2 linked regions of the Tamandua tetradactyla genome follow. The protein of the gene in region 2 purifies or fractionates together with the protein of the main gene of each other region. This does not show direct contact. Links are inferred from orthologs where the notes say so. Each region holds a gene or a part of one and is shown on either strand. Other genes may lie near its edges.

Region 1 (3,746 bases), on a different chromosome or scaffold from region 2:
TCACAAAGCAAATACAAAAGGCAAAAACATGCTCAATTATAAACTGTCCAGCTGACGAACAAAATGCTGCAAGTTTATTTGAACTTATCTCTTAGTTATCATTTTAGGTTAATTCTCAGACATTTTAGCTATAACTGGGCATACATTATGGTTCTAATTCGAAATAGTATTTAACAATACCGTAAAAAAAGTCTTATATTATTCTCTACCACCACCTGCTGGCTTACTATTTGAATAGCATTATGTGAAAATGCTAAAAATTCCAGACGCCAAAATATTTTAGGCTAATTCTTGATTGGAGATGCTTGCTGAAGTTATTTAGGGCTTAAGTGTCATAATGTTAGTAAATTTATTTTGAATTCATTAAACAATATTTATAGATGGAAAAAATATGACAAAATGTCAGTAACCGTTTGATCTATGTAGTAGGTACCATAAGGGTTGTTCATTTTAGTGGTTTGCGTTTCTGTAGGTTTTGTAAACTTCCGTAAAAAAAAAAAAAGGTCAACTTCACTAATATCAAAGTAAATGTAGCTAAGAATAACGACAACAACAAGATATTACGAACAAAAGGCTAAGCAAAAGACATACGGGTCAATTGTGACTCTAATACAAGACATCTTGGGATCCCTTTGCTTGTTGTCCGCAGCATTGACTGAAAAAAACAACAACATATTTGTAAGAAATTGAAGTACTTTTTAGAACATTAATTCAAAGATTTAGGAAAAAAATTTCCCAGACAGCACAGCAATAGCATTAACAAGGTTTTTCATTTAGAAAATTTTTGTTCAAAGCACTGCTTCTAGGAAAGAACTCAGTTTCCTGGACTCCAGAGACTACCCCACCGTCACCAACTGTTGTTTGAAATGATAGAACCTCTGGCTACAGAGGATCTGGTAAGGAATGATACTTCTTATGAAGGGTTTGACCTGTAGATCTTCATATGAAAAGAATTTACTCACCTAGAATCTCATCAAAGATTTTGTACAAACCAGGAACAAAAGTGACCTCCCTAAAGTTAATGCCAACATCTTCATCGAAAACCCACATTTGCTAGAAATAAGGCAAAGAAGTATAGTTACTTTTACTTTATATTCTTGTTTATCATCACGATTACTATAAAGTATTCTGGATTAAATACTATAGTACATATGTAATCACTTAGGCCAGTTCCAGCGATGCTGGAACATAAGAGGAAAAGTACATATTTTAACGGATAAGTAATTGCACTTAATTAGCATGTTTTACCTGGGTCACTAATTCCACAGAGCCAATGTAAGTGTCTGGGCGGAGCAAAATATGTTCCAGTTGTGTTTTCTTTTGATAGATTCTTTCAACAGACAGTCTTTTCTTAGCATCTTCATTTTTTTTAATTTTGCTGATTTGCATATTTTCATTTACAGGCTAGCAAAAAAAAACAGAAGAAAAGCATTTTTTTTTAAAGAAAAGGGCTTTTAAATCATAGATGTATCAGAAACTAATGTCTGCCATAATGATATGCTTAAACAACACAATAACAAATTGCAGTCTTTTGGTAGGTATTGGTGAAATGTACATAGTTTTGTACAAAGATGACAAGGTAAACTGCAGCTTAGCACTCAAGTGTCATTTTTAAATAGACATATTATCTCACCAAGTGTATCTGACATGAAAACATTTTCCTTGATCACGGCTCTAGATGGTATCGATAAAAACACCACTTTGTCCATCTAGTCCACAATTATTTACCAAGTGCCTACTATATTCCAAGCACATAAACAGATTCTAGCTCTGCAGCAGCAGAGTGTGAGAGATGACATCAACTGAATCATCTGGCCGCGTTCACGTTTTGAGCACAGGAAGGTCATTTTTTGAGCAACTCGGGTCTGCCAGCAACTCCAGCGGGAACGCTGAGCCAGGCGCTGCACTTTCCGAGATCAGCGACATTCAACCGCACTCTTCCCAGAGGGGAGGAGGGGAAAGCATGTGCTACTAAAGCCACACACAGCCCACGTAACGCAGATTTACCACAGAACGAACTGAATCCCGCCCCTAGAGACAGTAAAACAAAACCAACACCCTGACTGCAGTCTAGCCGATAATACTTCAATGTTAGCACCAAGAAGGGGTTTCACCTCATTCACGATCACCCAGAGTCCAGGGAATACGGGCCCTCAGCCCGTGGAGGAGTTCCGAAGCGGCGCGGGCGCCCAGGAGCCCTCACCCCTCACCGGCAGCCGGGGGGATGCCCCGATACGCTGAGGCTCCACGACCCGGGCCCTTCCGCGAGCCGTACCTGCAATGGTGACACCTCCATGGTGACAGTCGTGAAGGGGCTCGAGGACCCTGAACGTGACTAAACGGGCGTCAGCCGCGAAACGACCGGAGACCAGGCCACTTCTCTTCAGAAGCCGTCGGTTACGCGCGCTCGCCTACTCCCCTTTGAACCTCCTCTAGCCCGCCTAAGCCAGATAAGCCAATCCCTGACTCGCTTTCTCCGACGCCGTCCAGAAGAACCAATCACCTCTGTCCACATCTAAACCACCTATAAACGGCCGAGTTGGCCAGAGCCTGTTCGAATGAACCAATTAGGCAAAGGAGGCGGGTCTAAAGCGTTTTCGAAAGGCACCACTAGGCGTAGAAGCGGGGAGACAGACGGGGGATGTGGCCAGTGAGTTGGGGTCGTTCTTTCTGTGAGGAAAACACTGAAGAGAGTTCCTGTGGAAGCGGCAAGGGGTTAAAACCTGAGGTGCAAGCTGCCAGGAGAAAGTGAAGAGGGTAGAGAGGATATTTATTTCTCTGGAACCACTAACCTATTTCTAGTCTCTGCAATCTGAAAACCTCCTGAGGTAGTTAGTGAAAGGAATAGGAGTTTCAGCTCCACCTTCCTGAGGAAACTGAGCGCCAGCTTTCAGGACACAGCCTTAGAGAGTTGGCTAAGCGAAGAGGGTCCGGCGCCTATCTAACTTGCCTTCCCGAAGAATTTATTTCCAAAGAAACGATTTGTGATATAGCTGTAGTTTTTAGTTTTCGTATAGTAGGATGTAGAGAGGTCATACAAAACAGTATAACATTCAGCAGCTATGGACTGCAACTGATAAAAGGAATAGTTTATAGTTGCCGCTTCAAGGTTTTGCCAGTTTTGCAGCGAGATATGTTCAAATCTTTTCACTCAGACTGCCCGGGGATGCCTGAATACTTGTTCCTTTTGCTCTCTTCAGTGTTAAATTCTGAATTCTGCAATCCAGAATAACTGTTCACGTTTGGTGAGGAAACGCCAAATTGACAATCTTTTTAGTTTATTACTCTGAGGTATAAATGTTCGAGTGGATTTATACTTGTCAATCCACAATGTTAAGAAGACAAAAGAAAAAGGAGATGATAGAAAAAAGTAACATAATTTGATTGCTAATTCTCTCTGAAACACCCCCTTCCCAATCACTACTCCTATATTCTGCATGGGTTTCAGTCCTGGCTCCTTAATTTGCCAAGTTTTGTGGTGCTTCAGTTTCCTCTACTAAAAATTGTCGATAATAATGGTATTCCCTCAGTTCTGTGAAGATTGGTTATATGAGATGAGCGGAGGCATTTAGAATAGGAGGCTAAGGATATCAGAATCAGAAAGCAGGAATTTTCCTTAGACGGGTAATGCAATTTGTGGATTTAATTCCCCTTTTCTTCTATAGGAAACCAGAGGTTGTGAAATAACTCCAGCATGCCCTGTGCCCACTGCTGGCAAAGCCCAAGGGAAGACTGGTGAGGAGGGG
Region 2 (3,746 bases):
AACAATTTTTACTGCAGTCATCACTAAAAACAGAAAGCTCAAATCACTGTTCAGTAAGTTCTAACACTGGAATGTAAATTTTTCTACATAATGATCTTGGTAAATGAAGCAATCAGATAATTAGTTCAAAAGAAAAAAAAAAAGGAAAACGGATGCTTCTTGACACCTGAACCCTGTTAAATGCTTCATTTTTATTAGCCACTATATGAAAAAACAAAAGTTGGTTACCTCTGAAAACGATTTAAAATAACTGTTTTAGCCTCTGGAAGATTCTCAGGCCTCCGACTCCTTGCGGAGTCTAAATTACATACTATGCTAAGCTTTCTAGCACAGTTCTTTATTTCCTCCCTCAAGGACTTCAGACTTGAATAGTTTGAGCATTCCTTTAATCCTATAGAACAGTCTTCTGCAAGTTTTTCAAGTTCTTCAGTTACTGTTGCAATCACTTTAGGGCCTTGTCCTTGTATGTGGCCTTCAGAACAAAGACTAGGTCAAAATAATGAATATCGGGTACAAAGTAATCAAATTTTGTCTAGTGTGAAAGAACAGTCTATAAAATAAACCCTGACAGAATTTTTTTATACCAAAGATTTTGTGTTTTAAATGTAAAAGTAAAATAGATTTATTACTAAGTTAGTTCAGAATAAGTTTAAACACTCTGAAATACGAAAGTTTCACTAATTTAAGCAAATAATAAACAGCAGCATAATGCAATTAACCTTTCAAGCTATATCTAATATTACTTTCTTAGAAAAAAAATTAAGACAACATAAGGATATCTAAAGATATATTAATGTTAACCAAGTGACAATCAAATGGCTTCCTAAATCCTAGACAAGATACTTTAATTTAGTATCTGAAAAACATTAGCCGAGACTATCAAAGGAAACGCTGCTGTCTCTTCAAGCTGATGTCTAGTCTAAGCCACCACTATTCATGATACAAAGCTCTCATTTCACTAAAACCACTCCTCGATTTCCTTTTGCCGACCTCTGCATACCAGCAGCCCAGGCCCCCTTCATTCACCACGCAAAAACTCAGGGGGAGGGGAGACCACAGATGTCTGGAAGATACAAAGTATGAGACAATGCCTCCCTCCAAACGCCAACAGAAAACGAAGGAAAGTACTACACCAGACTGACAAAGCTCTCAAGCCGATTCAGAAGCGGTCTGTGGGAACTTAACTTCGAAAGCCTCTGTTCAAAAAGTCCTTTCCCCAGACAAAACACCGAAAGAAGTTGCCGTACTTAAATTTCATTTGGACAATTTCGCTCCACTGAAAAGAAAACTGCTCCAAAAATCAAGTTTAACTGTCACAAAACTGAGTAAATTATTTCTACGAACAACATTTTCCAAGCAGAGGCTGAATCCCGCGGTTCATTTATATGAAACCGTAAACCGCGACACCATTCCCCCCTTATTTTACCAAGGTCTCACACCCACCGCCATAAACCCAGAAGACTCCCAGTACATCAACACGCGTCGCTACTGGAATCACCTGCACGACACGAAAAGATAGAGGTACAAGACACGGATTTGATACGTGGAAACCCTCCTGGCGCATCGCACCGGCTGCACTAAGAGTTTGGTTCCTCTGAGGTTTAAAGTTGGTACGGTTTTAACAAGCTCCAATGCCAAACTCACATAGGCTGGGCATTAGAGCATGATAATAATTCTCTTGAGGAACGAAAGGAGGAATCTGGAGAGAAAGTCCAATGGCCCCATCCCTACCGCAGAGGGCACCTAGCGGGGAGTGTCCCGGCCCCAGCGCCCAAACCCCAACTCCCCTCTTGGGCTGCGAAGGCGAAGGCTCCCACCCCCACCCCGCCCCCCACCCCAGCCCCGGCGTATCCTGAGGCGCAGGGTCCCTCCCCCAAACTCGGCCGCGGCCGGGGCCCCGGACGGAAACACGGCTCCCCCTTCCCGCCCGCCATCCGGGCTCCTGGACGCATGCCTGCGGCGCCCCCTCCTCGCAAGCGGCGCCCCCCGGGTCTCCTAGGGGCAGCGCGACCGGATCCCGGGCACCGCCACCGCCCTCTACCCCCCGAGCGCGGCCCGCCCCCGCCGCCTCCCGGCGACCTCAGCCCATACCCCCAGGCTCCCCAACCCGGGCCTCCTGGCAGCGCCGGGCCCACCTCCCCGCCCGCCGCCAGGACTGCGCGCCGCGACGAAGTTTGGTTCAGAACAAGAGGCGGGAGCAGCCCTAGAAGGTTAAGGAAAGAAGCACCAAGCACCTCAGGGGTACAGGGTCCGCCCGCCGCGAGAGTCTGGGCGTCCTCGGCCTGCGGTCGGGGATCGGCGGGGACTGGAGCTCCTCGGACCTCTCACCGTCTCCGTCTCCGCCTCCCCTCACTCTCCGCTCCCAAGGCCTGGCTAACGCGCTGCCACAGACCGAGAGGCTTAAAATGGCGCCGCACAAGGACCTCTTATAAGACGCGCTGAAGCCACTGTATCCTGCCGCCGCCGGCATGGCGCGGAGCGTTCCACCGCGTGAGTGCAAGGGGCGGGGCGCGGGCGGGCGGCGGAAAGTAGTTCCAGCGACGCGAAGCCCTTCGCTGCTGCTTGTCCTTCCCGGGCCGGGTGGGCTATCCGCTTGCTCCCTGTGCGCCCCTTAGTGGGGTGGTGGGTGCTGCGCGGAAGCGGAGTGTAACTTAGGGTGGCGCCATGGTGCGAGCTGGGAAGCCGGAGTCCCCGCGGGCTGGGGTCAGGGGAGGGCAGCACCGAGATGAGCTTCCACTGTCCCTAGCCCTACGCCCCCCACCCGGTGTGTCCCCCGAGCAGATATGGGCCTCACTGGGCGCTGCCCGCGGGAGGCAGCACCTCGGCCCGGGCCCTCGGGGACCGCGCGGAGCTGGTGGACTTGCAGGGCGGGTCTCGGGAGGATGGAAGTTTGGGTCTGGGCCCGGCAGGCATCGACTGCTGCCTGGACGCCGCCGCTGCCCCCCCACCTCCCTCGTCCCGCTGTCTGTTCGGAGGCTCCGGCGGGGAGAGAGTTAGGGGCTTCCGCCGCCTTTCCGCTCTGTGCCACAACGCTAGGCGCAGGGCCTGGCTCGCAGCCTACGCGCCCGCCACCCCAAAGAGCCCCCAGCTGTCCGAATCGTGGACCCCGCGTCCCAGTCCGCTGTTCACCGTGGCTGTGGCCGTGACTGACCAGGGCCGAGCCACCTACTATCCCACTCCCGAAAGCTGTGAACTCTCGTTAGAATGTGCGCCAAGCCCGCAATTCAACAAGTCCTTATAAATGCCTACTGTGAACAAATGACTAATCAAAATGGATTAGCTGGAGACCCCTGCCAATTAGGTTAATTTTTATAGATTCCATTTTTATCTAGTTCCACTAAGTATCAGATTTATTTGTGGAGGTGAATTTCTCCGGTAGTACTTATTTGAGAAATCCGTGTGTGTTTATAGAAGGGGCTACCGATTAGGCAGGTTCGATTTTTTTTAAAAACTAGTTTTCTATTCAAAAACAACAACAACAAAAAACCCATTTTCTAATTCGTTTTGATAGGCTGAAGTTGGGTCTTCATGTCCTTTGGAAATGCCTCCATTGTAAGCAAGCAAGATTGGCATTTGTCGAAACTGAAACAATTATGATTGATTCACTTTCTTTAGTCTCATTTTATGTTTTTTTTTTTCCTGTAAAACGATGGGGAGAGTACAACCAGCAACAGTGAAAGTTATCTTGGGGCTTTTATCCTAGGACTATAATTAATGAATACAAACAATAGCCTTTGTACATAAGT

What was found. Proteins that work in one complex are often made in the same cells at the same time.
Region 1: the proteins of CTNNB1 (region 2) and TOP2A purify together in Homo sapiens (affinity purification with mass spectrometry; 3 studies listed by BioGRID and IntAct, with this or other methods). This does not show direct contact. The link is inferred for Tamandua tetradactyla from reciprocal best matches to the Homo sapiens genes CTNNB1 and TOP2A.

What each region holds. Positions count from the first base shown.
Region 1 is NC_135332.1:26,944,559-26,948,304, reverse strand, and holds the start of TOP2A (DNA topoisomerase 2-alpha), read right to left. Parts: upstream 2,441-3,746; 5' UTR 2,297-2,440; coding exon 2,276-2,296; intron 2,257-2,275; exon of another isoform or gene 2,115-2,256; intron 1,405-2,114; coding exon 1,249-1,404; intron 1,054-1,248; coding exon 963-1,053; intron 656-962; coding exon 592-655; intron 1-591. UniProt on the Homo sapiens protein: Key decatenating enzyme that alters DNA topology by binding to two double-stranded DNA molecules, generating a double-stranded break in one of the strands, passing the intact strand through the broken strand, and religating the broken strand.
Region 2 is NC_135341.1:46,094,915-46,098,660, forward strand, and holds the start of CTNNB1 (catenin beta-1), read right to left. Parts: upstream 2,436-3,746; 5' UTR 2,235-2,435; exon of another isoform or gene 2,025-2,234; intron 1-2,024. UniProt on the Homo sapiens protein: Key downstream component of the canonical Wnt signaling pathway.